7 linked regions of the Canis lupus familiaris genome follow. The protein of the gene in region 1 interacts with the protein of each later gene in a pairwise test. Links are inferred from orthologs where the notes say so. Each region holds a gene or a part of one and is shown in the gene's direction. Other genes may lie near its edges.

Region 1 (3,500 bases):
GAACAGAACCATGATGCAGAAAATGGTCCTATCCTCATAGATGATAGCAAGTGAGTATCTCCCATGAGGGCAGTGGTCCCTGGGCCCAGGCGTTGGGGCAGGCCTCTGCCTGAGACCCCCTCTTTCCCGCTGGGCCTCCTGAACCCCTGACTTTCATGTTCATCCCCAGATGTCTGTCCTCTACCGAGAGCCTGCGACAGCTTTCTCAGCAGCTCAATGGTCTTGTGTCCGAGGTACCCCAGAACTTGAAACCCAAAGTGGGAGGGAAATGGGGAGGGAGAATATGACAGAAAGAAACTGAGGCAGAGATTTCCCAAGAGGGAGGGAAGAGCTCAGGAGTAGCCAGCTCACTGGGTAATGTTTGCCTGACTCCTCTCCCCTTTGAAGTCTTCCCTTTGAAGCTCCCCCAGGTAAAGGGGTCCGACCTTGAGGCTGCTTACATCATTTGACCTCTCTGCAGAAAGTGCATAATGAGAGCTGCCCAGGAGGGGATGGATGATGACGGGGGGCTAAGAACCAGGAGGAGTGGCACAAAGGAGGGGTTAGTTAGGCAGAAAAGTTTGCAGCTGATGGGCAGGATGAGGAGTCAGAGGGCTTAGGTACTGGGGCGGGCAGAGTGCGCCTCCATGTGAGCCCTTTCGTGTCTCCTAGTCTTCATCCTACATCAATGGGGAGGGCCTGGCATCTTCTGCTAACATAAAGGATCTAGAGGTAAGTGGCACTAGACCATGGTCTCAGGACCCTGCAGGCCAGCCCCCATCTCCTCCCACAGCGGGGGCTGGGTGCCCCGCTGCCAGCCCAGACAGCCCCCAACCCTAATGACTGCTCTCTCTACCTCTCCCCAACCCTCGTCCAACTCCTCCTCCTCCTCCTCCTCTGCATGCGCCTCAGAGCCGGTACCAAGAGCTATCACTAGCCCTGGACTCCAGCAATCTAACAAACAAACAACTCAGTAGCAAGATAGAGGAATTGGTAAGAGTCCAGTGGGGTCCCCTGATTCCACACTGCCAATCTGGGGCTCCAGTTTTTCCCTGGGGCTCTGAAGAAAGGGGCTGGGGGACCCTGGTGCTAAGGGAGAATGGGGTGTCGGGGGGTTTGAGTCTCAGGTGGAGGGACCCCAGAGCATGCGGCATGGCTCTCTGTGGCTGCCTTCTTTGCCTCCTTCTGTTCTCCGGACACCCCTGCTTGAGTCCTTTCCATACTTGCCCCAGGGCTGTAGCCTCTGGAGGAAGCACTGGCTTGGCTGGTGTGCTCCTGCCCTGACCCAACCCCTAATTTGCTCCATCTTTGAACTTGGATGAGTCACCTTTCCTCTCTGGGCTTCAGTCTCCTGAGGAGGTAGAATTAGAGGTGTCCAAGGTCCCCTTTAGCTCAGAGAATCAGGTCCTTCTCATTCCTGTATCCCTGCTATTAAGAACAGAACCTGGCCTGTGGGTACTTAGGCCCAGGGTGCTCAGTAAATACTTGTTGAATGAAAGCACCCTTCCAAATCACGAGCTACCAGAAGGGTAGTCTCTTGCTTCTCAACTCCTGTTTCTGGAGGTTTATCCCTGTCCTTTCACAAGGACTCTCATCTGTGTAGCTGTGAGCAAAACTACCCAAGACCCAAAGTCTTTTCTTGGGAGCTTGAGGAGACTCTTATCAGTTCGTGTCCACATGAAGTTTCCCCTTTGAAACCCATTCCTGGCCCCTGCCCATCCCTCAGTCTTGGTGTGCAGAGGGCAGTGAAAGGGAATAGACCGAGTTACCTCTCTTTGGCTCTCCCCACAGAAACAACAGAACCAGGAAACTCTGGATCAACTGGAAAAAGTAACATGATATCTTTTGTCTGCTGATTATGTGGCAGAGGCGTTTGGGGAGGATTCAGATGTAGAGGCCCATTCTCATCTTGGTCTGCTCCCAGCCTGGAGGAATAAAAGGCCCCCTTGTGTCCCCCACCCCTTCCCTACCCCTGCCCTCCTCCCACTACCTGCCACCACGCCCCCCTCCCCCCCAGTCTGGCCACATTGTTGGGCCTATCCTGCTCCACTGATGGCATATTTTGGGATCACGTCCTTTGCTGTTTCATCTCTGCCCCCTTCCAGTCAAGGATGTTGTGTCCTCCTTCCTGCAGGAGAAGAAGGAGTTTGAACAGAAGCTTGCAAAGGAGCAGGGGTCTCTAAGGGAGCAGCTGCAGGTGTGTGGAGCTGGGATCTCCCTCCTGCCCCCAGGAAATGCTTCCATCCCCTCTCTTCAGCACCCCTTTACCTTCTTTCCCAAAGGTTCACATTCAGACCATAGGGATTCTGGTGTCTGAGAAGACCGAATTACAGACAGCCCTGGTCCACACACAGCAGGCAGCCAGGCAGAAAGCAGGTGGGAGTCTAGACATCCTCCCACCCCATAGCCTGGCACGTTGGCAGGCCTTTGGTGGGATTCCTTCCTGGGCTCCTCTTTGAACTCTGTCATTCCAGGAGAGTCTGAAGATCTTGCTAGTCGCCTGCAGTCTTCCCGCCAGCGTGTCAGTGAGCTGGAGCGCACATTGTCTGCTGTCTCCACACAGCAGAAGCAGGTGGACAGGGTGAGCCCAGCTTCTGACCCACCTGGCTGGAGGTGCAGCTTCCCCGACAGGGGAAGGGGAAAGGTCCCTTCCACACGGTGGAGTGTCTTCCTGCCCACAAGGCAGCATGGGCTGTTTCTTGCTGCTTTAAAGTTTTGAGGTGGTTAGAAGCAACCAGGGCTGAGCTGACTGTCTTGGGGGACTTAGCAGTTGGGGCTGCTTTCTGGACTGAGCACTGAATGTAGAGTCCAGATCCTGAGAGACAGCCCTGCCCCCTTCACTGGCTGTGGGTCTTGGCTGAGTACAGAACAGTCTTTTTCGTATGTTACCATTTGTATAGGAAGGGAAGTATGTGTGTAATACAAGGTGTGTGAAAGGAATTATAAAAACCCAGGGAGAGGAACAGATCACCTCTGTACAGTCTGAGTGGTGGGCCGTATGAACAGATCATTCAAAAAAGGGACAGAGGATCACAATGCAAATTTAATTCCACTCCTTATCCCTGCTTCCCCAACCCAGGGAGAAAATGTAGGTGAAGAATCAGACGGACTGGATGTTTAATTCTAGCTTTCCGATGGGGATTTTAGGCAAACGACTGAATCTGTGATATTCTGTGTTGTTCACCTGTAAAAACAGACACAATCGTGCCTACCCCATGTGGTGGTCGCAAAGCTTGAATGTGATTGTTAGCATGGCAGCTGCTGACATGCTCTGTGAAGGGTCAGGAGTGTTCTGACGCTACTAGTAGTTGATAGCAGTGCCACTGTCTGGGCCTCTGCTGGCCAGCTCTGAATCTCTCCCACCCTTACCAAGTTCTAGTCCACGGCACATGACAACTTGGGCTTGGACATGGCTTTGAACAAAGTGTCAAGTGTGGCTAGGGTGGGTGAAGAAGTGTGGCTGCATCTTCTGCTGCCCAGCCCATGCCTGACCCTGCCTTTCTGTATCTGCAGCACAACAA
Region 2 (4,162 bases), on another chromosome or scaffold:
ACCGCCTCCTCCTTGCTCTCCTCCTTACCCTGTACCTGGGCCTGGCTCATGGGCTTGACCAGCAAGACCTCCGCTACCTCCGGGCCCAGTTACAAAGAAAACTGCACTTGCTCTCCCGGCCCCAGGAAGGTGAGGCCGAGTGAGGAGCTAACCTGGTCCCAAGCCCTTTAACATCTGGGCTCTGGCTGCTTCAGACCAGAGGCCCAAATCTATGGACTGAAGGGGCCATCCCTTCCCCTGTTTGAGCCTCCACTCCTTGGGCCCAGCTCCATACCCTAATCCTGAATTTCAACCACTGGACCCCAAGATCTACTTCTCACCAAACCACGGAGGAAGGGTGGGGAACTTCAGTATTTCCTCACAGTTTAGGCCTTGACCCACCTCCACCCCACCTTAAGAACAGTCCTTCTAAGGAAGAAGGGTGGGCCTGCCCACTTCCCTCCCACTGTTGCTCCCTTCTACACCTCAGGGATCCCCTTCTCCCCCTCAGGCTTCCCTTCCTAGGAGTAGGATCAGGGTCTGCAGGTTTGATGGTAATGCCAGCTCTGCTGACTCACCTAGCCCCTCCTTAGGCCTTGCCCCTCCTTAGGCGCTGGCCCTGGGCTCTGTCCTCTAACCTGAGAGGATCCTCCCGCCCTTCATGTTGGTGACTAAGAGATCTCTGCCCTCCCGAGGAACGTCTGCGGCGGAAAAATAAAATTCAGCCCGTTTTTTCTACATATGGCATGCAGTCCATCAGTGTGTCTCTAACTAGAGGGCTGACTTTGGAAGGAAGGCCAGCAGAGCCCAGGCACGCCGAAGTCGAGTCCGGACGGCCACCGCGCCCTCTGGCGACCGCTGGGCGGCGGCCCCTCGGGCACACCCCCGAGGCCCAGCCCCCTTCCTCCAAGTCCCCAGTTCCCCCGCCGTGGACCGGGACCCATGGGACGCGGGCTGAAGCTAAAGACTGGGCAGCGGCTGTCGTGGGGGCCAGTTACCAAAGCCGTGGGCTTCCGAGTACGTCTCCGGGTGGCCGCCCGGGACCCCGCAGTGACGCAGGCTGGCCGGGAGAGGCCACCGCCTGGGGAGGGGCGGGCCCGGCCGGGGCAGCGGCTGCTTCCTCTGCGAGTCCCTCGAGGGGCCTGAGTCGCGGCGGGCGCGGCGGGCGGGGCGGGCGGGGCGGGGGCCAGGGCCTGGACACCTGCGTTCTCCGGGGCTCGCGGCAGGAGGGCCGGGCCGGGCCGGGGCTCGGGCGCGAGAAGGGGAGCCGGGGAGGCGGGGCCCACGCGCGGGCTCGGGAGCCGGCCCCGCCCCGCCCCGCCCCGCCCCGCGCCGCCCCGCCCGCGCCCCCTTCCCTCCCCATTGTCCTCAGACAAAGCGGTCGCCGCCCCCCGCCCGGCCCCGGGTCGCGGTCACCCTCCCGCCTCCCCGCCCGCGTCTCCGGCTCTCCCTCGGTCCCACTCCTCCTCCCTCGGACGCCTGCTCCTCCGCACCCCTCCCGTGGGAGCCCCGCGCGTGTGAGTCGGCTGCGGGGCTGCGGCCTCGGGGCGGGGGTGTCTCGCGCCGCCCGCCCCGGCGCGGACCTCGGGCTCCTCCCGTCGAGCCGCGGTTGCCTGTCGGTGCGCCCCGAGCCGGGGGGACGGCGGGCTCCGCGGGGCCGCTGAGCCGGGAGCCGGGCCTGGCGGCAGAGCCGGGGCGCGGAGCCGGGGCGCGGCCCGGGCCGGGGGCTGCCGCAGGAGGGGCGGGGGCGGGCGCCGGGGTTCCGGGAGCCCCGGGGTGGGCGCACCCGCGCCCCGCGCCCCGCTGCCTCCCCGGACGCCGGCTCCTCCCGGCTCCCCGACGCCGCTCCAGTCCCGGCTCCCTCCCGGCGGGACTCCCGGACCCCTCCCCGCCCCCCCCGCCCCCCGCCTCTGGGGCGGCGGTGGGGAAACCCGGCCTGGTCCTCCTCCTCGCGCCGCCCCCGCCCCCGCTCCCCGGCCGCTCCGGGCTCTCGCCTCCCTCGTTACGACTCCTTTTCCGCCCTTCTCTCCGCTCACATCCTCGGGCCTCCCCGATACCATGAACCCCGCGCTGCCAATTCTGACTGCTGTCTCCTCGCCCTGAATCTCTATTCTTCCTCTCAGGGCCGCGACGCCACCTCCGCCGGGCCCACTGCTTTTTCACTTTCTGTTTCCCCGTTACTTTGCCCTCCATCTTCTCACTCTTCCCCTCCCGGGCCTGGGCCCATCTCGGTGTCCCTCCTCTGCCCCTCTGCTTCCCCTCCCCCTACCCCCAGGACCTCTGGAGCCTCTCTTTCCTGTTCTCTAGCCCAGCACTTCCCACCCCTACCTCCGCGCGACCATGGCTACCATCCCGGACTGGAAGCTACAGCTGCTGGCCCGACGGCGGCAGGAGGAGGCGGCCCTTCGTGGCCGGGAGAAGGCTGAGCGGGATCGTCTGTCCCAGATGCCAGCCTGGAAGCGGGGAATCCTGGAGCGCCGCCGGGCCAAGCTTGGTCTGTCTCCTGGAGAACCTAGCCCTGCCCCTGGGACTACAGAGGCTGGACCTCCAGACCCAGATGAGTCGGCTGTCCTCCTAGAAGCCATTGGGCCGGTGCACCAGAACCGATTCATTCGGCAGGAGCGCCAGCAGCAGCAGCAGCAGCAGCGCAATGAAGAGTTACTTGCAGAGAGAAGGCCTGGGCCTTTGGAGGCCCGGGAGAGGAGACCCAGTCCTGGGGAAATTCGAGATCAGAGCCCCAAGGGAAGAGACTCAAAAGAAGAGCGGCTCAGTCCCAGGGAGGCCAGAGAGAGGAAGTTGGGGATAGGGGGAGCCCGAGAGTTGAGCCCCAGAACTTCAGAGGCTTGGGACTGGAGGCAGAGCCCAGGAGAGTCTGGAGACAGGAGCTCTAGACTGTCAGAGGCACGGAAATGGAGGCTGAGCCCTGGAGAAACTCCAGAGTGGAGTCTGAGACTGGCAGAGCCTGCAGAACAAAGCCCCAGGAGAAAAGAGGTGGTGGAAAGTAGACTGAGCCCCGCAGAATCTGACAACCAGAAGTTGGAGCTGTCAGAGTCCCATAAATGGAGGCCCGACTCTGGAGAGTCTCAGGAACAGAGTTTGGTACAACGGGAGGCATCAGGGTGGAGGCCCAGCTCAGAAGAAGAAAGAAAAGACTGTTTGGAGGAATGTAGGAGAAAAGAAGAGAGACCAATTCCAACACTGGCCTCAGAAGAGATTACAAAGGTGTCAGAGACCCTGACAAGGGAGGCTCCAGAGAGCAGCTCTGGAGAGGTGGAGGCAGCAGAGCAAAGGCCCGGCCCTGTGGAGGATAGTGAGAGGGGCCTGAGGCTGACAGAAGGCTGGAAATGGACCCTGAACTCTGGAAAGGTTCGAGAACGGACACCCAGGGACACAGAGACTCAACCTCAGAAACCCCCAGAGGCTGCTGAGAAGTATCTGGGGCCTCTTGGTACAGAGGCTGGAGAAGGGGAGGCTGAGAAGGAGAAGGCAGGGGCTCTGAGCAGGCCTCTGAGAACCCTGCAGAACTGTAGCTCTGTGCCCTCCCCCTTCCCACCAGAGGACGCTGGGACTAAAGGCTCTACGAGGCAGGAAGAGGAAGCGGTGGATCTCCGGCCCCCACCAACAGCCCCTCTGTTTCCCCTACCCCCAGCCCCACCTGCTCCCCAGTCCCCTGGGGATCCCCTCATGAACCGTCTGTTCTATGGGGTGAAGGCAGGGCCAGGGGTGGGGACCCCTCGCCGCAGTGGACACACCTTCACAGTCAACCCCCGGCGGTCTGTGCCCCCAGCAGCCCCCAGCACTCCCGCCACCCCAGCCGCGGCTGATGTTGCAGTTCCTGGAGTTGGGAAGAAGCGGTACCCGACTGCGGAGGAGATCTTGGTTCTGGGGGGCTACCTCCGCCTCAGCCGCAGCTGCCTTGTCAAGGGGTCCCCCGAAAGGCACCACAAACAGGTAGGGAGCAGCCCTCAGACTTCTCAGAAGCCTCAGCTCTCTCTGGCCTCCTTTCTTTTTTATAGCCCTGTATTCTTGTCTTCCTCTATTCTTTCTTGTTAATTCCTGCCACTACCCTTCCTCCTCTATGCACACCCTTCCTTCTTGTTGTAGCCCTCATTTTCCATTCATTTCCAAGCCCAAGGGTTCTGTCCCAAATCAAGTGCTGTCCCTGGGTGTGTCTCCCAGGGTG
Region 3 (4,138 bases), on another chromosome or scaffold:
TCGACCCGCGCGCCCCAGGACGGAGTGCCCCCCCCTTGCCCGTCCTCTCACCGCCGGGCCCTGCCCAGCATCCCGGCCTTATGCACTGCCCCTTCCGCCAGGCCCCGCCCGGCCCAGGCACGGCCTGACCCCGCCCCGGGCACCGCCTGTCGAGCCATCCTGCCACGCCTCCCATGCCTGCAGCTTCTCGCGAGGGGCAGTGACGGCCCCTGTGGCAGGAGGGGCTGCCCCAGTTGGGGGGTGAGGCTGTCGCTCTCTATTTTCAAATGTTGCTGTAGAAATAAAGACCGTTTGAATCTGAGTCGGTCTTGTTTTGGGGCGGAGGCCGGGGGCTCCTAGTGTCTCTAGGTTGGGGGTGAGGTCGGGAGAGGCTGCGAGCGAGCGTGTGTGTGTCGCTCAGGTCCTGTCCCGCGCTGCTGGAGCCCAGATATTTGGCTCCTATCTCGGATTTGTTTGGGGGCCTCACAGATCCAGTTTTTTCTAGCAACCTTCATCTCTGAGATTCTAGAGACCGCGGGCTTGGAATTCTGCCCCTTACCAAGTAAGCCATTTCACCTTGAGCGAGTTACCGAGACTTTTCCATCTATACAATGTGGGTGACGACACCCTCCGGGGGCACTGTCTGAATTAGAAGTGCCAGCACAAGACCCCCCCAAATAAATGAACTAATGCTAACAACTCCGGGAACTGCGAGGGTAGGGATGACTACCTCAGCCAGACGTGAAACGCGTCAACCCTAGCCCTAAATTGACCTCATCGTCGGGACGCCATCAGGTCCCCGGGAGCTGTTCTCAAGTTCAGGTACATCCATACGGAGCGAACTACAAGCCCCAGAATGCAATGCGCGGCGATGATGGGGCGTGGGCTAGGAGACGCGGCCTCAGTTTACGCCTGCGCAACCGGGAGAGAGTTGGGCAAAGTAAGGAGACTACAAGTTCCAAGAAGCAATGCGGCAAGGCCCCAGTCGGGAATGTTTGCGCCTGCGTGTCGCGGGCGGGGCCTCTGGGGCGGAGCGGCCACCATCTTGAAACGGGAGGCGGAGCAGAGCTGACTGGGAGCGACCGAGCGGGCCACCGCCGCCGCCATGAACCCCGAATAGTGAGTGAGCCCCGCCCGCGCCGTCCGGCGCAGCCTCGATCCCGAGTACGGGGCTGTACGCTTACCGGGGTTGTCCGGCCTGGGTCAGGACTCAGCGGCGCCCCCACATCCGGGTCCCTCTTCCGCTGACCCCCCCCCCCTCACATCCGGGTCCTGCCCCTCCCCCTGGGGGCCCCAGGACCCTGGCTCGGTACCCCGAGTTCTTGCACCCGGGACCCAGACACTGCGACCCCAAGGGGCACTACTTGGAGCCCGAAGCACCGGTCCCTAACAGGCCTTATTGGTCAGGTGAACCCGCAGCCTCGGTCTCTCCAGGCCTCAGTTTCCCCACCTGCTGCTTGCAGTGGCAGTCTGGGTGCTGACGATGGTCCCGGCGTTTTGGAGCCGGTCCAGCCTCGGGCCTTTTAGGTCTGACAGTAAATCTTTCTATTTTTCCCGTTCTCCTGGAATCCGGTTCCTGGGGCTGGTCGGACGCGGCAGGCCCCGAGGCGCCGCTCCGGGTCGCTCTCCCGTGGGTCCTCCTCTCCGGGGCTACAGCTTCGCCCCTTGCCTCCGTCTAGCCGTCCTGCCGCTCCTGGAAACCAGTCCCTTCCCGCCCTCTCCTCACCTTTGCGCAGGCCCCCAGCGCCACCGTCACACCCCTTACCTTCGCCGTCACGCTGTTGATGAAGTTTAGATGAATATGGCATTTGTTTCTCCCATTCCAGTGGGATTCTCTGTACCTCAGACTCTCCTCACTTCTTGGTCACTCCCCCTGCGGATAGGTGGCCCATATCTCTGCCCCAGACTTCTCATTGACAGTTTTCCCCAAGTGTCAGTTGTCTTCTTCCTCTTCTGTCACTTCCTTTTTCTCCTCCAGATCCAGGCCTCAGATTTCCTTAGGTAAGGGTGAAGCTCAGAGCTGGATTATAAGGGACACAGAAGGGAACTAACAGGCTCTCACAGAGACTTTGGGAGTCTGAACCTGGTTTCCAGTCTTAAAGTTAACAGCTGTGTAACTTAGAGCAAGTCACTTCCCTCTTCTGACCTCTGGTTTCCTCATTAGTTAGAAAGAACACCATCCATTTCATAGGGCTGATGTGAGGCATAAGTGAGATGATGCATTTGCAGTAGTTAGCACTGGATCAGGCACAGAGTAGGAACTCAGTACTTAACTTTAACTGCCGTCATTGCTACTCGTTGACCACCTCTTCTTAGAGGCTTCATACCAGGCTCTTCACATAGATATTCACTTAACGAGTTCTAGGCTGGACCCTAACTACCCTCTACTGGCCCAGAGACCACGGAGTCTGTCAAGTGTCAGGGTAGGACACTCAGCTTTTTCTCCTAAGGATTGTGATCCTTGGCAAGTCGTATCCCTCTCTCTGCCTCAGCTTTCTTCTCTATAAAGTGGAAATTCAGACTCAGCCCTTTGGGCCAGCTGTAATATGGGGAGAGGTGTCAGCCTTCCCCTTCCCAGGACTTGTGAGAGGATCTTGTGAGTGCTTTAATACTCTAAACCAAGGCAAGTCTCACAGCATGAGAGAAGACCATAGTTGTAATGGCAGATGACATGGCTGGTGGGCTCCCTGCCTTCCTTCATATCTTCCCATCCTTTCTCTCTAGTGACTACCTGTTTAAGCTGCTTTTGATTGGTGATTCGGGCGTGGGCAAGTCATGCCTGCTTCTGCGGTTTGCTGTGAGTAAGGAGCCTCCCATACCATCCACCTGGGGTCCTGGCTGGTGGCAGGAGGGAGAGGGGGCAACACTGAGCACAGGAGGTCCAAGACCTCGGAACCAAGGATGAAGTTACAGAACCTCCCGTAGCGTCTCTGAGCAAAGACACAGGGCTGACAGGTTGGGGTGCTGAGAATGAGGGCTTAGCAGTTACAAACTTGGCTGGGGCAGGGTCCTGGAGGGAGATTTTCCAAATGGGCTTTGGGCTTGTTCACCTAGGCCATTTCATTGCTCCCTGCTTTTCCAGGATGACACATACACAGAGAGCTACATCAGCACCATTGGGGTGGACTTCAAGATCCGAACCATTGAGCTGGATGGCAAAACCATCAAACTTCAGATCGTGAGTGTCGCTCTTCCCAGTCCCTGGTGCAGAGGCAGCCACCTTGGGAAGGGAAGGGCTCTGGGCAAGTAGCTCAGAGCTGACCTGCCCTTCTTTCTTATTGTCTTATAGTGGGACACAGCTGGTCAGGAGCGGTTCCGGACCATCACTTCCAGCTACTACCGGGGGGCTCATGGCATCATTGTGGTGTACGATGTCACCGACCAGGTACTCCTGGGGTCACATCTCCAGCTTTGCCTTCTCAGCTTTGGGTCTTTGGTTCGTTTTTGTTTTGTTTTTTTTCCTTAGGATTTTATTTTTTTAAGTAATCTGCTTACCCAACATAGGGGTTGAACTCACAACCTGAGATCAAGAATCACATGCTCTACTGACTGAGCCAGCCAGGCACCCCAGGTCTCTGGTTCTTATTTCTTTTTACTCTTCCCATCCTGTCTTCTGGATGCTGCCTTGAAGGAAGACTGTAGTTGGACTCATTTCACAAGGGAAACAGCTACAGAAAGTGCATCCTCCTGAGGCCCTGCTCCCAGCCATTGGCAGAAGCAGGCCTTACACCTCCTGGCTAAACTTGCCACCTTATTCTAGACTTTATAGGCACCTACATTTTGTAAGGGTTTAGTCAGCTAATCGGTTGCTGTGCTGGGCTTATGGCTTCCTGGGTGAAGACACTATGGAGAAGCAATAGGAGGGCTTTAGACAAAAGAGGTGAGGCAGCTCTGCACTCTGGGTGCATTGCGAGCAGAGATAGGAGCCCTGTGTTTGCTGTGGCAGCATTAGTCATGTGTCACTGGCAGCAGTGGAGGTATTAACATGGTGAAATAGTCCCACTGTACCTTAAGGTTTATAGAACTTGTCATGGTCTTTTTTTTTTTTTTTTTTTTTTTGGTCATGGTCTCTTAACACTCTAAAGAAGTCTGCAGTAGCTTCCCATTTTACAGATGAAGAAATGGATCAGAGTGATAAGGAGACTTGCTTGGGGCTGTG
Region 4 (4,058 bases), on another chromosome or scaffold:
CTGAAAGGCCAAAATATGTCCCCCATACTGCCAAAACACACAGGTGACTCAAGGTCAGAATCTGGAGGATGGGCCAACCATTGTTCTGCATGGATTCTTGATCTAAATTAATCTAAACCTTGCCCCAGTGGGGTGTTCAACTGGGTCAAGGTATGGTCAGCAGGCTAACCATTGTTCTTTTTTTCCCTATGAAAGATGGGGCCGCTGCAGATGAAAATATCACACTCTTCCTACTAGTGATTGTGTTACTTTTTAGATGGCTGGAATGGCAGAGCTAACGTTGCTTAGATTATTTTCCCATCTTTTTTGTGTGTATGTGTGTGGACATTGTGTCTCCTATTTTCACTTTCTGGGAAATTTGCCAGTTTTTCAAGGACTGGGTAAAGAACAAAATAAATATTTGTAGATGGTTTAAAAGGAGAATGAGTATGTTGGATGCCACTCTGCCCATCCGAAGAAAAGCAATCTTACTGCCTTTCAGATATTTTAAAGTAATTAACTCGAGAACTTCAGAAGGTTGATTGGACTAGTTTACTTTTCAGATTTGTGACCGTGTGTGTGTGTGTGTGTGTGTGTGTGTGTGTGTGTATGTTGGGGAGAGGGGAAGTGTCAAAGCCTAGGCGAAGGAGTACAAACTCTTTTTAAAGTTCATTTTAAGTGATTGAAATTGTGTGAAAAGTAAACAACCTCTTTGTATGTGTTAATCAGGTTCTAAACAGTTATCGCCAGAAAGTGTTTACTTAACAACATTCGGCACATAGGATTTCTTTCTTTTTCTTTCTCTCTCTTTTTCTTTTCTTTTCTTTCCTTTTCTTTTTTTCTTCTTTTCTCTTCTTTCTTTCTGGATTTCACTGAAATTTGGGATGTTCAGCAGTTGGCTGCTTAGTAATACGTAAATCAGCCTGTTTGGGGAGGTTCACTCTGTCTGTGTCTGAGATTAAAGAAACCAGAGAAGTGGCTTCCAGCGCCTGCCGGTGACCCTGTGTGAAATGTGTCCCTTCCCTGGCTGCGGAATCGGGGCAGTCTGCAGCGGTGCAAACAGGCAGGTCTGGGTCCTGGGTGGGGAAGCCCATCACCTGTTGGGGCCTCGGGCGCGCGCGGCGCAGGGCGGGCCCGGGGGCAGGGGCAGGGCCCGGGGTCGGGGACAGGGGCAGGGGCAGGGGCAGGGGCGGCTCCGAGCACAGCACCCTCCACCCCCCCCACCCCCCCGCTTCCTCCGGGACAGTCTGGCGCGCGGACGGACGGACGCGGGGACGCAGGCACGGAGGGACGGGGGCGGCCCGACGCTGGAATGCAGTTTTCTCGGGCTTGGGAGACTTTGCACCGGAGCGGAGAGTAGTTTGGGGTGGGGTTTCGCACGGTCCCCTCCTCCCCACCCCACCCCCGGGCCCCCTTCCAGGCGCTTTCTGGGAGCTCTCAGAACTGCGCTCTCTGAAGTTTAAAGAGCAGCGAGGAGCTTGTGCCGCAGGCGGGGACAATGGAAGAAAGCGAAAGCCAGAAATGTGAGCCGTGCGTCCCGCGCTCAGCAGACGGCAGACAGAAGCAGGGTAAGTCCCCGGCTCGCCCGGAGATGGAGTCAGGGCCCCGCGTGCTCCGCGCCGCCCGCCGCCCTCGAGGGCCCCGACCTGGCGCCGTCCTGGGGCGCAGCGCTGTCGGGGCCCAGGGCAGACCTGGGACCCCTGGGTCCGGCTGCATCTCTGGCAGGCCCTTCTCCAGCGGCAGGAGCGGTGGCGGGGGGTGCCACATTGGGGGCACAGGGAGCAGTCGGTATGTGCTCAGTCTCCAGGCGGTGACAAAACACACCGCCCGGGGCGGCTTTCGGTCCGCGCAGCTCCGGCCGCGGGGGAAAGAGGAGCCGCGTCTGGGAAAAGCCGCCCCGGGGACCGCGGCGTTTCCATTCATTGGTTGGGGGCGGGAGGGAGTCCCGTTAGGCAGATGCCTGCTCCCTGCAAGTTTTGCGGAATTTTCGAGTTACGTTACAGACTGCGGGGACGTTTTCTTTTCCAGATCAGAACTGCAGGGCGCCGCTGGTAACCTCCGGATGATAGATGGGGCTGTGTGAATCTCTCAATGCTCTGATTCAAAAGTCGGGAGTTGTAAGACCATCTTGGTAAATTTTCCGCAGGCAGTTTTCCTTTCATTGTGTTTGTGATCGGCTTGTCTTTTCCGTAGGGAATTTCCAGCAGCTTATGTTGTTCCAAAGAAATTGCACAGCGGGGCTGGGTGGCCAAAGGACTTCTCTGCTCTCCGCTCTCTGACGTCTGTGATGCCTGAGCCTATCATACCGGGTCCTATAGGCAGCCTGTTGGTAAACCCGCACAATCCGAAACCGTCCCCGCCCACGCCACCCCGGGTTCAGGCGGCGGCCAGAGAGCCAGAGGAGCGCTTGCGGGGCGGCTGTGCTCCGAGTGGGAGTAGGGATTGATTATGCACAGGGGAAAAGGTGTGTGTTTTAAAAAGGCCAAAGGGAAGTAACAAATGACTCATCTACACTGAAAATGCAAAACTAAGCTACGCAGAAGAAAATGGAATTGCGAGAGATAGAACACCCCTGCACCCCACCCCCACCCCCCACCCCTTACTCCCTCCCCGGTGAAACTCAGGAGACCTTAAGCTTAGTAAACCCTGAGGAATCCCCCGGTTTTACAGTCACCAGTCTAGGTATCTGTGTTTGTGCTTCTAAAACAGAGCACGCTCCTCCCTGAGGGCGCCTGGTCGGAGGGGTCCAGTGGAAGATAAGGTTTCCCTTCCATCCCCCACCCCCACCCCCAATTCGATAAGAGGGGAGCCTACAGCAGGGATTCAGTCTTTGGGCCTCTGCTGAAATAAATGACACAGAATCTGGAGGGGCAATTAGAACGGGACCAATTTAAGAAATGGCTTTCAAAAAAGATGCTGCAGAGGCTGGAGAGATGGTCGGGGCTGAGGGAGTGTGATCACTTTATTCATTTACTCATTCATTCAGTGAATATTGAACATCTGTTATGTAGTAGTTACTGTTTTAGCTGCTGGGGATCCAGCAGTGAACAAAGTCGTTGGAAAATACTTGCCTTCATTGAACTTATGTTCTAAGAGCCCAGTCTGGAGGGGAGAGGGTAGTAGAGAGAGGCAATGGACAGGTAAGCAAAAATATATAGCATGTTAGATGGCAGTGTTGCCAGATTTAGCGAATAAAAATTACAGGATGCCCAGTTAAATTTGAATTTCAGATAAACAAGGAATAGTTTTTTTTTTTTTTTTTTTTTTTGCATAAGTATAGCCCATGCAATATTTGGGACATACTTCTGCTGAAATTATTCATTATTTATTTGAAGTTCAATTTTAACTGGGCATTTCCTATGTTATCTAGCAACTCTATTAAGTGGAAATAAGACTACAGGGAAACATAAGCCAGGAAAAGGGAACAGGGAGTACACAGGGTTGCAAGTGAAACTGTAGTAGACAAGGTTATCAGGGAGATCCTTACTCGTGTATATTTGAATAAACCTCTGACAGAGGCAAGGGAGGGAATAGGCAAGAACATGTTCATAGAGCAGCAAGGCCGGGAGAAAAGAGGTTAAGAGGTAATGCCAGGCCGGGTCACACAGGGCTGTGAGACTATGGTAGAGATTTGAGCTTTTATTTCAGAGGAGGTAGGGAGCTGCTGGCAGGCCCGACTTGTCACATAAAAGGGAAATACCGGGTGCTATCCTGAGAATAACCCCAGTAGGGGTAGGGGAAAGGCGGGAGGCCATTTTGGAGGCTTCTGCAGTAAACCAGGCAGTAGCTTGGACCAGCAGGTAGTAGAACAGGTGGTGATAAGAAGACAGGTAGGTTCTAGATGTATATCGAAAGTGAAGACAAGGAACGCCTGGGTGGCTCAGCCATTGAGCATCTGTCTTTGGCTGGGGGCCTGATCCTGGAGTCCTGGGATCGAGTCCTGCATCGGGCTCCCAGTGAGGAGCCTGTTTCTCCCTCTGCCTGTGTCTCTGCTTCTCTCTGTGTCTTTCAGGAATAAATAAATAAAATCTTAAAAAAGAGAAGGCAGGAAGGCCAAAAGAATTTCCTTAGAGATTCAA
Region 5 (4,239 bases), on another chromosome or scaffold:
AAAGGGCAGGCCCGGGAGAACCAGGGCCAAGCCCCACATCTGAGCTGTGCCTCCCCGGCCGGTCCCCTGGCCCGGCTCTATCCCTTCCTCCCCCAGGCCTGCCCTCACGGCTGCCCCCAATCTCTTCAGTTCAGCTGGCAGCTCGATAAGAATCAATAGGTCCACTCCAGAGCAAAGAGCAGAGCCGAGTGGACCAGGTCAGGCCCTGCTGGACAAACGGGCTGCTCGCGGTGACAGACCAGAAGGCCCTGTACCTCAGGATTCCCCAGGTTCACTCGGCTGGGGATGGCCACTGGCCCCAGACGGAGCAGTGGGAACTTCTTTGCTCCCATCCTTTTTACCTACCTAGGTCCTGGGGGACAGGCTTGAGGTCCAGGGAGGAGAGGCAGGAGGGGGGGGGGACACCTGCAGAAAAATCCTAGTAAGGATGGGGAGGGGGCTGGCCACAAGGGCTGACCCTACACCGTGTGGGACCCCCTGCGATCCCTTGATGGATTTCAGCCTCTGTTATTGGGGCTATTTTCCCAGCAGCAACTCTAGGAGGGTCTGACACACAGTAGGTGCCCAATAAATACTTGTTGGACTGTAAAGCACTCAGGAAGTGTTTGTTGACCCCAGGGTGTGGGTAAGGCTGACACACACGTGTTTAGAAATGAAGAGTGTTCGGGCGTTTAAATTACCAAGTGTCCCGCTGACGGCAGGCTTCCTTGGAAAGGGAGGGGAAGGGAGGGGAAGGAAGGGGAGGGGAGGGGAGGGGACCAAGAGGGAGGGGATTCCGAGAACCGACCTGTTCGTACTTGGTGGGTGACCTGACCCCGAGTGGGTGTTTGACAATACACATGGCTACGATGGGGCGTGGGTGCGTGCGTGCTAATGAACAGGTGCAAGGGGGTATGTTTGAGAACCGAGTGTGGCGGGGGTCGTGGTGTAGACTGGCAGATGGGAGACTCAGGGTTGAGCTTCTCTTCCTTTCCAGCCCCAAACTTTCCTTCCCCACGACTCCTGGGGCTCCAGGACCCCCCCAGATGCTCTCCACAGGTGGGAACTTGGGCTGCAGGCTGAGGATGGTTCAGAGATTCGCACCTGACGTCACTCACTTATCATCTCCCCAAACCCCCAAATTCCAATGTGCCGGGACCTCCCGTACCCTGGGGAGGAGGATCTAAGGACGTTATTTCCTGCCCCAAACTCCGCGTGGAGGGCCGGCTCCACCTGCTGCCCTGGTCCGTCCAGGTTGCTCACCGCCTCTGCGGGGGGTGGAGGGCGGCCTTGGCTGCAGGGTGCGGGGTGCCAGGGTGTTGGGTGCTGGGGGAGGGAGGCCGGGGAGGCGCGGCCCGGACGCGATACCCCCGCGGTGCACCTGCAGCCCAGCCTGGGGGGGGGGGGGGGGGGCGGGGCCTGCCGGGCCGGTCCCCACCCACTCCTGCCAGGATATAACTTCGGTGGCGGACGCTGCACCGTCCCTGGCCCGAGCCTGAGCCCTGGCCTCCCGAGTCGCCCTCCGGCCCTCCCTCCGAGCAGCATGAGCTTCACCGCCCGCTCCACCTTCTCCTCCAACTACCGGTCCCTGGGCTCCGTGCAGGCGCCCAGCCACCGGGTCCGGCCCATCAGCAGCAGTGCGGCCAGCGTCTATGCAGGCGCAGGGGGCTCGGGCTCCCGGATCTCCGTATCCCGCTCCACCAGCTTCCGGGGCGGCTGGGGGTCCGGGGGCTTGGCCGCGGGGATGGCCGGGGGTCTGGCGGGCATAGGGGGCATCCAGGGCGAGAAGGAGACCATGCAGGACCTGAATGACCGCCTGGCCTCCTACCTGGAGAAGGTGAGGAGCCTGGAGGCTGATAATCAGAGACTGGAGATGAAAATCCGGGAACACCTGGAGAAGAAGGGCCCCCAGGTCAGAGACTGGGGGCATTACTTCAAGACCATCGAGGACCTGAGGGCTCAGGTAAGGGGGCCACCCCAACCCAGAGCCTTGGCATACCCTGTTACGTGGGCGGCTTCTTCCTCCTCCCCCAGGGATTGGAATTTTAATGGGGTGGGGTGTCCGACTCCTTCCTGCTTTCTATCTCCACCCCGCCCCTCTTCCACAAGGAGGGGGTGCATGCCCTGGACTTCCCCCGCACACGCACGCCGGTTACAGGGACTCCAAGTGCGGTGACTGGGCATGGCAGGGCCCTTTCCCAGGCGAAGGGGAGAAGGGGAGGGGCGAGAGTCTTGCAGAGGAAGTCCGCGGCACGGAGGGAGGGACGGGAGATAAGGCCCCAGAAAGAGGACCTGGACACCTGACTTCTGCCTGAAAGAGGACAATTGGAGGGTTAAGCGGATGTGGCTAAGGCTGAGTCATCTAAGAGTAAACAGGAGGCCTACCTGTGGGAGGGGCCAATGGGGGCGAGCAGGGGGGAGGTGAACAGGTGCACTAGGAAAAAAATACCAGGAGAGGGCCGAGGAGAGGACTGACTGACTTCAGGGCAGGCGGGCCTCGGAGAAGGGGGGGTGGGAGACCGGTGGGAACTCTGGAATTTGGGGCCCCAGGAAAGGAGCGACAGTGTGAGGGGGCACAGGTGGAAGGGGGTGGGTGCACAAGGAGAACCTCTGACTATGCCTGGGATCGAGAAGTTTCCACTCAGACACAACACTGCCAGGCTCGGCCCCCATCACTGACTTCCCCTTCACGGAGCCACCTCTCCCCAATCCCCCAGATCTTTGCAAGTGCCGTGGACAATGCCCGCATCGTTCTGCAGATTGACAACGCCCGGCTCGCTGCTGACGACTTCCGCGTCAAGTAAGCCTGGGGCTGCTGGGGAGGCCGGGGTGGCCCCAAGAACCGTCTGGTGCCGGCTGGGCCACTCAGGCGGGGGCTCACAGCGGGATCTTTGGCTCTGGTCAGAGCGGGGTGGGTAGGAGCTAGGCTCCATGTATTTATTCACGGATATAACCCAGTCTACGAACATTGTCCCCCAAGAACCGAGAAGGCTGCCCAGAGGATTACCACCTGATCCAGACTCCGGCGGCTGGTTTGCGGGGGCCAGGGGCGCTCTCAGATGGCCTAGTGAGAAGGTCCTGGGTCAGAATGAGGCCCTCTGATCGCCTCCCCTCCCCCTGCCCCCAGGTATGAGACGGAGCTGGCCATGCGCCAGTCCGTGGAGAGCGACATCCATGGGCTCCGCAAGGTCATTGATGACACCAATGTCACTCGGCTGCAGCTAGAGACAGAGATCGAGGCTCTCAAGGAGGAGCTGCTCTTCATGAAGAAGAACCACGAGGAGGCAAGCAGGGGCCCCTGGCCAGGCCGGGAAGGAGGAAGCCAAACAAGTCGGGGGTGGAGGGCACTAGATGGCACAGGCCGCCTGCCTGTAAGTAGCTGGCAGAGAAGTTTAGAACTACCAGCCCGGGCTCTCCTTAATCAGATCATTGCCATACTCGGTCACCTGAATTGCAGTGTGATGGGGTCAAGGGGACATGGGTGAGAGAGCGAGGAGAGGACAAAAGATAGAAGCAGCCAGCACCACGTGTGAGGGCTGCTGGAGGAGTGAGGGCAGGTGGCGCTGAGAGGGCTTCCTGGAAGAATGTACAAGGAGGAGGTTGTGGAAGGAGGATAGATGGAGGGACAGAGTGAAGTGAGGGAGAGAAACCACCTGTAGGTGATAGATTTGGGCAGAGTGGGTGGCATTTTATTCATCGGCAGTAGAAAACCCAGGATTGGCATCGCCCAGAGTATAAAACCAAGAATCTTCTCTGCTGCTTTCTCCAGCTGATCCCACAGGTCTCCCACGAGGGACAGTTGCAGGAGAGGAGCCTTGTCGGAGCTCTGACCCCGAGTCTCTCCTCACTCTGATCCTCTCTCCTTTAGGAAGTAAAGGGTCTACAAAACCAAATCGCCAACTCTGGGTTGACGGTGGAGTTGGACGCCCCCAAATCTCAGGACCTCAGCAAGATCATGGCAGATATCCGGGCCCAGTATGACGAGCTGGCTCAGAAGAACCGGGAGGAGCTGGACAAGTACTGGTCTCAGCAGGTGCACGAGGGGAAGGGCTGGGTGCCCGGCTAGACACAGAGGCCTGAGGCTGTGGGAGGGAGGCGAAGGAGGGGGGACCTGAGGACTATACCCACCCTGCAGATCGAGGAGAGCACCACAGTGGTCACCACACAGACCGCTGAGATCGGAGAAGCTGAGATGACCCTCACGGAGCTGAGACGTACCGCCCAGTCCTTGGAGATCAACCTGGACTCCATGAGAAACCT
Region 6 (4,207 bases), on another chromosome or scaffold:
TCCCTGTTCCTATTCTTGATCCCATCTCTACAGACCAGTTTTGTCCTCTCCTTACCGGCAGCTAGAACTCTAAGAAAAGCAGCGACTAAACAGCTTGGGTCCTGTGGGCAGTTATAATCCATTATATCATTAGCACAAAACTTTGCCTGTTACAAAACATTTTGATAAACGGCATTTTAATCCTAATAGGCTCCCAAATTAAGCACTACTAGTACAAGCCTAGCAATAATAATAAGAATAACAGTAGTAGTAGTAGTAGTAATAAAGTTGACTTTTCCAATATTACACCGCTGGACAGTAACAGGCTTGGGATGGGCAAGTCTTGCCACTTCACAAATTAGTGAGGGGAGTTACTGAAGGGACTCTTCCTTGACAGGAAAAAGTTTCTATGACAGCCTGTAAGAGAAGTAGAAGCTAAATATGTGGAAAAACATACAGCCAAACTTTGTGCGGACATAGCTGGGAGATTGAGAACTCACTTCACAAAAGAATTCATTGCCACGGAGCCCACAGAACCAGGATATCCAAGACACCTCCTCTGAGCTGCTCATCTTCACGTCAGCTGGGAAAAAAAAAAAAAAGAGGGTAAACAAAGGCCAAGCTCCCCCACCCTGTCTCTGGTACCTTCCCTCCTCCCCACACTCTGCTCCCCGACCATGGAAGAATTTGGAGCCCCCTTTTCTTAAAGGATCCTAGACCCTGGCGCACCTGCCTCCAATTCCTCTTATTCACTAGAGGCTCTTTGGAGTCCCACCACTTCTGAAAAACCGACAGGTCTAGGCTCACCCGTCCTACCCACACCCCTAACAATCCCGAAAACCAGCACCCTCTCCTCTTTACGTCAAGTCCCTCCCTCGCAGGGCTCTCGGCTCGAGATCCCTACCCCGCAGGTCTCCGCATGTCCCCGACACCTTTCCCAAGGGTTCCGAAGTTTATCCTTTCCAAGCAAAAGCCAGGACCCTTTCCCCTCACGACCTGGAGGTGGCCCTGGGTCCCTCTCACAGGAGTCCCCACACCCCGCCTCTCAGGCCAACCCTCCCTCCCCCGGTGCCGGACCGGGTCACTTCCTTCCCCACCCCCACACCAACGCGCGGAGACCCCATGTGCCGCGCCTAAGGACGGAAGACTCGATGCGGCAACGACCTCAGACTCACCGGCTGGGCGGGGACCGGGACCGGGACCGGGGTGGGGGAGGGGAGTTGCTGCTTCCAAAGAACCGCGACGGCTACAGCGCAGGCCGCGGACCCGACCGCGGCAGGCGAAGTAGCGAGGGGGGGGGGGCGGGGGGCGGTGTGTGTGGAAATTGGGGAGGGTGGGGAGAGGGCAACGCGCAAGCGCCAAGGGTCGGGCGCCGCAGTGAACGCCGGGAAATGGAGTCCCAGGTAAAGAGAAACTGGCGAAGCGAAGAACAGGCGAACTACGAATCCCAGGATGACCCACGAACGACCCTGGCGTCGCGAGGCCCAGGAACAAGACGCTCGGGGGTGGGGAGCAGCGGGATACCACCGGAAGCGGAAGCGCAGTACCCCGTTCTGGGCCAGGGAGTATGGGAAATAGAGTCGTAGGGTCGCGCAACTGAGGGGCCGGGAGGGGGCGGGGAAGGAACGGGGCTGGAGGGCTGGATTCCTGCAACTCCCCTCACACAGCGAGGCTCTGCCCCAGGTGTTTGCCGGCAGCCCAGGGTGCTGACCTCGTCCCCGACTACCCCACCGGGTCCTTGTTGCCTGCGGAGCCTCTCGCCAGAGTCAGGCCCGCCACTGGAGGCCCCACCCGGGCCGGTGCTTCACCCCGGGGTCTAGTCTCCTCAGGCGGGAGGTGAGGCCGGGCTCCTTGCTTGCGGGACGTGGGAAGAGTGGGCTGGGCTGAGGTGAGCGGTGTGAGAATTGGGACGGCCTGTGCGCTAACCTGAAGTGGCGCCAGCCATTCTGCTGCTCGTCCCCTTGCACTTTTCCATCTCCTCTCAGAGCTTGAATGGGGCCTTCTGCTGCGGGCACTAAGTGTGACCTTCGAACCCTGCTCAGAATAATGGTGAGGGGTGGCGTGACGTTATTTCACTTCACGGCTTCGGGGCATTCCACAGGTTTCCTCCCGCCTTCTCAGAGCCCTCCTTAACTCGGTGGTTTCGCAGGTCCAAAAACTGCGCTCGGAGTGGGGGGCCACGTTCCGGGAGGCGAAGGGCATTGTGGGGCGTTATGTAGAAGTAGGACCCCAACCGACAGAGCCTCTGTCCTCGCGCTGCCTGGGCACGTGGCATCCTGGAGGGTCCCACCGTGCGAAGGCTCAGCCTGGCGCTTCGCACACGCCCGCACCCTCAAGTTCTGCTTTGTGGTGGTTGATTTTTTTTTCAGTCACACATGTGTGTCTGGGTCGTGTGGCTATTGGACTGGCAGCACCTTTGCTTAGATAAAATTTTTGTGGTACAGAGACCCTGTGGGGTCTCCACAGAGACTGGAGTTTCTCCCCCAAATCTTCTTCTTGCATCCGGAGAAGGTTAAAAGTCTGTTTTTGTTTGGAAAGACCCTACCCTGACATAGGATCAAGGAAGATTTAAAGGGCTAGGCTGATTGTTTTCTTAACTGCACGTCTTACCTGGTGATCAAGTAGTTTGAGAGAGAAGCTGTTTTTACTTATTGGTGAGGATAGGGATGGGCCTCTGGGCAATTCTCATTAAATCTTTGTTAAGTTAACCTTTACGAGGGATATGGGCTGTTATTGTATGGCTCCCTGTTTTTCCACATGACCTATGGTCCTTAGGCCCTGTAGGGTCCTAGGTTGTGGGGTCACTTAGAGTATAAGACGGGTTTTTGACTTGGAAAAGGCTACTTTTCCTCATCCCAGCAGATCTGTGGAGGTGGTTCTGGTCAGTGCAGAGCCACCAAGGGATTGGCTTGCTTGTCTCATACGCCCTTTAATTAGTCTCATTGTCTCAGTTCTCCCAAAAGCCATGTCCAGGCCCTCCCTCATCACCTTCACCCCGGCCACCAACCCCAGTGACCTCTGGAAAGATGGGCAGCAGCAGTCACAGCCTGAAGAGCTGGAGCCCACCCTGAATGGGGCTGCAGCCCGGGCTTTCTATGAGGCCCTGATTGCAGAAGAGAGCAGCATCCCTGCATCCCAGAGATCTCAGCCTGAACCTGACAGGAAAAGAAAGAGGAAGAAGAGAAGAATGATGGGGGAAGCTGCTGTAGGAGCCTCAGCAGGACATGGACAAAGGAGATCCCTTGAGGCAGAGGACAAGATGACCCATTGGATACTGAGGGCAGCCCAGGAGGGTGACCTAGCAGAACTAAGAAGGCTCTTGGATCCCCACGAGGCAGGGGGAGCGGGGGGCAATATCAATGCTCGGGATGCCTTCTGGTGGACCCCCCTGATGTGTGCTGCTCGAGCAGGCCAGGGGGCTGCTGTGCGCTATCTCCTGGGCCGTGGAGCTGCCTGGGTGGGTGTCTGTGAGCTGGGTGGCAAGGATGCTGCTCAGCTGGCTGAAGAAGCGGGTTTTCCTGAGGTGGCGCGCATGGTCCGAGAGAGCCACGGAGAGACGAGGAATCCAGAGAACCGGTGAGAGGAAGCCTTAACCCATGCCCATCTTTCAGTGTGTTCTGCCCTTCCTAGTCCCTCCATGCCAGAGGCTCCGGAACAGACTCAAAGATTCTCTCCCTGATCCCCAGTGTAGGTTGATATGGCAATGGAATCGAGTAGTAGTAAATGTGAGCTCCCTGTTTTTTTTGTGTGTGTGTTTTTTTAAGATTTTTATTTATTTATTCATGAGAGACACAGAGAGAGAGAGAGAGGCAGAGGGAGAAGCAGGCTCCCTGCAGGGAGCCCGATGTGGAACTCATCCAAGGTCTCCAGGATCACACCCTGGGCCAAAGGCAGGCGCTCAACCGCTGAGCCACCCAGGTGTCCCAGCTCCCTGGGTTTAAATTCTGATTCTACTTACTTGGTCAAGCAACCTAATTTTTATGTGCCTCATTTTCCTTATCTGAGAAATGGGGGGTAACAAGAGCACCTGTTAAAGAATTGTGAGGATTTAATGGGTCAATATATGTAAAGTGTTAGGATGACGGTTTACCATATATATATATATATAGTTAATATATATATATAGGGGATTAACTATATACATATATATAGGGGATCCCTGGTGGCGCAGGGCGCGATCCTGGAGACCCGGGATCGGATCCCACATCGGGCTCCCGGTGCATGGAGC
Region 7 (3,500 bases), on another chromosome or scaffold:
GTTGTAAATTCAAGCCCCATGTTGGATGTAGAAATTACTTAATAAATCTTTAAGAATGAATGAATGAGCGATGCCAGGGTGGCTCAGTGGTTGAGCATCTGCCTTTGGCTCACAGCATGATCCCAGTTGTGGGATCGAGTCCCACACCGGGCTCCCTGAGAGAAGCCTGCTTCTCCCTCTGCCTATGTCTCTGTGTCTCTCATGAATAAATAAATAAATAAAATATTTTTTTTTAAATTTTCTTAAGAGTTTACTGTAAAAGCACTGTAGGAAAGGATGTGCTGTGAGCTAGACAATGCCTAAAGAGTTAGGGATGAAAGAAGCTGAAAGCATGATTCCTGCAAGTTTCTGGTGAGAAAAAGAAAGGTAAATGAGTAGATAATTCTAAAACAGTAAGACAGATTATAATAGTGGTATATAGGGGGTCTTGTGGGAGCATGGTAGGTGCAACAAACCCAAATTGGGGGGAATTGTGGAACAGATCCAAATAATCAAGTATGTATTGAATAATATTTAGACACTGTGTGAAGGGGGTTCATCGATTTTCTCATTTAGTACTTAGAGCAACTCTGTGAGGTAGGTCATCTTTTGATCTGCCTCTACAGATGAGAAAACAGGTTCAGAGAGGTAGGTAACTTATCTGGGTTACTACCTTGCATAGGTAGGATTTGAACTCTGGGTTCTTATCCATCATAGTACCCAACTCTAGAATAGATCCCTCTTGTGTATAGCCCTCTGTATTTTTTCCTTCAGCTTTAATACAATTTGTGATTGTGGATTTGTATGAGTAATTGTCTCTCCTCTGCAAGACGTAACCGGTCTTTCTCAGTTTATAGTCTCACTGCCTACCTAGCACAGTACCTGCACCCAAGTGCTCAATAAATATTTTGAATAAATAAGTTCTGTTGCTTACTGAAATATGCTTACTAACCAAGAATTACAAAGAAACCTTAACTTTTCCATTAAATGTATTATTTATTACTGGAATCCTTTTGTGGTACTTTGGGATATCTCTGTAGTAACATTTATCACACTTCAAAGTTGCTAAGAATTGCTTGGTAGAAAGGCTGCTTTGATTAAAGAGTAACAAAGTACATATTTAGGATTTCTGCTTTGAATCTTTGACTTCCTAAGTTTTAAACTGCATTCTAAATTAGATACCTTTGGTAAAACACACTTAAATATGCAGTTTATATTTTCTTTCTTTTGTCCACCTCTTTGTTACATTCAGTGCTAATCCTTGTTTTTTTGTATTGATGCTAAAATAGTTAAAAGTAAGAAGCATAAGAGTAAAGCAGTTAAAAATAAGGAGTATGAAAGTAGGAAAGACACTAGTGCAACTGTATATTGGACAGTTGGCCACTGGTAACTGAGAATGTTTCCTTGTTATAAGAAAGGAAACGTAGAAGCATAAAAACTCAATAGTTTATTTATTATATGAAATACTTATTAATTTTTTATTTGGGCATCATTTGCCTGCATCCTAGTCAAACGTGTTTTACTGTATATCTCTGAGTACTTATTTCTTTCCAGACAAAATAAAATGACTGATATTTAATACTGCCATAAATCATTGACATGTTTGACCTGCTAAAGAGAAAAAAGTATTATGGTAAAATAGCCTCTGATGGCCAAATTGCAATGATCTAATGTGAGAATTTTTTACAATTCTGACTTTCATTATCTTTGCTTATAGCTTTTTACCTGCACCTACTCAGCTATCTCAGGACCAGCTTGAGGCTGAAGAAAAAGCAAGATCCCAGAGATCAAGACAGACCTCACTGGTCTCATCCCGAAGAGAACCTCCCCCATATGGGTACAGGAAAGGCTGGATACCTCGATTATTAGAGGTAAATAATTGTGCTAACACTTATTATAATACCCTTGTAAAATAAATTTAAACCATAGAACGTCTGCACATGAATGCCAATATGCTAGAAATCCTGGTGATGAGTTCCTAAGACATGTACTCCTCTTAGGGCATTGATCTTTTTCTTCTGGCTTAGTATCACTGCTTTGTGAACATGAGAGAATTATACCTGGTTGTGTCGCTTCTTAATGTCCAACTATTAAATGTACAAAAGAAACTAACATACCCTCTATAAATCTAGCAATTACCGCAGAGGGAAAATAATAGGAAAGTAAGAGGAGAAAATGAAAGAACAAGTTCATGTTCAGGTGCCTTTCCCTCCCTTCTCCCTATATGCACAATGCCACATAACCCTGCAGAGACAGCTTTCCTCCAGGGAAAACTCCAGCAGTGTTTCCTTTTCTGATTTCCTTCCTATTAAGTATAGTGGCAAGAGCACTGGCAAGGAGTTTAAAAGAATAAATAATAAGAAGTGTTTTTGCATCATACCTGTGCTGGTTACTGTTTAGTCAGCAGATCCTGACCTCTCTTCATCCGTTTTCTTGTTTTCAATTTGAGAATGTTTCTATATGTCTAATATACAGATTAATTTTTTAGAAGCTATAAGAGTTTTTTTTTAATATTTTATTTATTTATTCATGAGAGACACAGAGAGAGAGAGGCAGAGACACGAGCAGAGGGAGAAACAGGCTCCATGCAGGGAGCCCGATGTGGAACTCGATCCTGGGGTCCCAGGATCCCTGGGCTGAAGGCAGGCGCCAAACTGCTGAGCCACCCAGGCGTCCCAGTATAAGAGAATTTGATTGTTGGTTTGGAGGCAGTAAGGAGAAAGATGAATCTAGACTGATCTTTTTATATCTCTAGCTTGTTTCCAAAAAAGAAACTTATTTGACAGTACCTGTCCTCCTAGTTACTGTGTATCTTGTACTGCAGTTCAATACGTAATCCTTTCCCTAATTCCAGGGCAGATTTCTCATGCTTGACCACCTTTTTCATCTAGGGAGAAAAGCAAATATTTGAGACTTAACTATTTTGCCTCCCCAAGACCACTTCCTCTTTGATTGAGCCTTTTTCTTTTCCATCTCTTAATATTCATTCTGACTCCTGCAAATTTCCTTCCTCCACTTCCCAAGGAATGTACCTGCCCTATTAAAAATCTCTCTTCTTAAACCATTCATTTTTGTAGCCAAGTATCTTCATTTTATCACTTTCTTACATTCTTTCCTTTTACAGTTGTGATTTTTACCTTACAATGTGATTTTTACCTTACAATGTCCATGCCTTTACCTTTTTTCATATGCTTCCACGTGGTGTTCATAGTGAACTAAGCATTCATTGGACTGAAATCTGTTGCTTCACACCCTGCAAGATGCCATCTGCATTCTCAGCCTCTCCCATGTTTGGCATTCTCCCTGCCTACCAGAACACTCTGTAGAGCCTGGAAGACAAACTCCCAACTAGATCATGTCATAAAAAATTTCCTTTTTTTTTTTTTTTTCTCAGCCCTCTTCTAGACTTAATTAATATTCTAATATGCAAAGACCAGTCTTATTAATATTACTAAGGCATTGTTGTTGTTTCTTTTGTTTTCACTGATAGTATATTTGTAAGAAGCAGGACAAAATAAAAG

The links.
Region 2: the proteins of GOLGA2 (region 1) and PPP1R18 interact in binary tests that used the Homo sapiens proteins (3 or more experiments, as listed by UniProt). The two-hybrid records come from large-scale screens. The link is inferred for Canis lupus familiaris from reciprocal best matches to the Homo sapiens genes GOLGA2 and PPP1R18.
Region 3: the proteins of GOLGA2 (region 1) and RAB1B interact in a two-hybrid assay, tested with the Homo sapiens proteins (2 studies listed by BioGRID and IntAct). The link is inferred for Canis lupus familiaris from reciprocal best matches to the Homo sapiens genes GOLGA2 and RAB1B.
Region 4: the proteins of GOLGA2 (region 1) and KIAA1217 interact in binary tests that used the Homo sapiens proteins (3 or more experiments, as listed by UniProt). The two-hybrid records come from large-scale screens. The link is inferred for Canis lupus familiaris from reciprocal best matches to the Homo sapiens genes GOLGA2 and KIAA1217.
Region 5: the proteins of GOLGA2 (region 1) and KRT18 interact in binary tests that used the Homo sapiens proteins (3 or more experiments, as listed by UniProt). The two-hybrid records come from large-scale screens. The link is inferred for Canis lupus familiaris from reciprocal best matches to the Homo sapiens genes GOLGA2 and KRT18.
Region 6: the proteins of GOLGA2 (region 1) and GPANK1 interact in binary tests that used the Homo sapiens proteins (3 or more experiments, as listed by UniProt). The two-hybrid records come from large-scale screens. The link is inferred for Canis lupus familiaris from reciprocal best matches to the Homo sapiens genes GOLGA2 and GPANK1.
Region 7: the proteins of GOLGA2 (region 1) and SNW1 interact in binary tests that used the Homo sapiens proteins (3 or more experiments, as listed by UniProt). The two-hybrid records come from large-scale screens. The link is inferred for Canis lupus familiaris from reciprocal best matches to the Homo sapiens genes GOLGA2 and SNW1.

Annotation. Positions count from the first base shown.
Region 1 is NC_049230.1:55,329,393-55,332,892, forward strand, and holds part of GOLGA2 (golgin subfamily A member 2), read left to right. Parts: intron 1-6; coding exon 7-50; intron 51-169; coding exon 170-233; intron 234-651; coding exon 652-711; intron 712-891; coding exon 892-972; intron 973-1,748; exon of another isoform or gene 1,749-1,770; coding exon 1,771-1,809; exon of another isoform or gene 1,810-2,107; intron 2,108-2,113; coding exon 2,114-2,176; intron 2,177-2,261; coding exon 2,262-2,355; intron 2,356-2,453; coding exon 2,454-2,560; intron 2,561-3,492; coding exon 3,493-3,500. UniProt on the Homo sapiens protein: Peripheral membrane component of the cis-Golgi stack that acts as a membrane skeleton that maintains the structure of the Golgi apparatus, and as a vesicle thether that facilitates vesicle fusion to the Golgi membrane.
Region 2 is NC_049233.1:625,434-629,595, reverse strand, and holds the start of PPP1R18 (phostensin), read left to right. Parts: upstream 1-1,362; 5' UTR 1,363-1,496; intron 1,497-2,286; 5' UTR 2,287-2,319; coding exon 2,320-3,930; intron 3,931-4,162. Other genes in the region: NRM (nurim), read left to right, coding at 1-129, 590-621.
Region 3 is NC_049239.1:51,533,912-51,538,049, reverse strand, and holds the start of RAB1B (ras-related protein Rab-1B), read left to right. Parts: upstream 1-1,338; 5' UTR 1,339-1,462; coding exon 1,463-1,506; intron 1,507-2,703; coding exon 2,704-2,776; intron 2,777-3,061; coding exon 3,062-3,157; intron 3,158-3,268; coding exon 3,269-3,364; intron 3,365-4,138. UniProt on the Homo sapiens protein: The small GTPases Rab are key regulators of intracellular membrane trafficking, from the formation of transport vesicles to their fusion with membranes.
Region 4 is NC_049223.1:7,015,156-7,019,213, reverse strand, and holds the start of KIAA1217 (sickle tail protein homolog), read left to right. Parts: upstream 1-1,258; 5' UTR 1,259-1,477; coding exon 1,478-1,547; intron 1,548-4,058. UniProt on the Homo sapiens protein: Required for normal development of intervertebral disks.
Region 5 is NC_049248.1:44,456,511-44,460,749, forward strand, and holds the start of KRT18 (keratin, type I cytoskeletal 18), read left to right. Parts: upstream 1-1,439; 5' UTR 1,440-1,522; coding exon 1,523-1,942; intron 1,943-2,696; coding exon 2,697-2,779; intron 2,780-3,106; coding exon 3,107-3,263; intron 3,264-3,847; coding exon 3,848-4,012; intron 4,013-4,114; coding exon 4,115-4,239. UniProt on the Homo sapiens protein: Involved in the uptake of thrombin-antithrombin complexes by hepatic cells. When phosphorylated, plays a role in filament reorganization. Involved in the delivery of mutated CFTR to the plasma membrane.
Region 6 is NC_049233.1:1,285,955-1,290,161, reverse strand, and holds the start of GPANK1 (G patch domain and ankyrin repeat-containing protein 1), read left to right. Parts: upstream 1-1,407; 5' UTR 1,408-1,815; intron 1,816-1,826; exon of another isoform or gene 1,827-1,905; coding exon of another isoform or gene 1,906-1,954; exon of another isoform or gene 1,955-2,633; intron 2,634-2,930; 5' UTR 2,931-2,944; coding exon 2,945-3,555; intron 3,556-4,207. Other genes in the region: CSNK2B (casein kinase II subunit beta), read right to left, coding at 480-562, 1,906-1,954.
Region 7 is NC_049229.1:50,824,154-50,827,653, reverse strand, and holds part of SNW1 (SNW domain-containing protein 1), read left to right. Parts: intron 1-1,696; coding exon 1,697-1,850; intron 1,851-3,500. UniProt on the Homo sapiens protein: Involved in pre-mRNA splicing as component of the spliceosome. As a component of the minor spliceosome, involved in the splicing of U12-type introns in pre-mRNAs.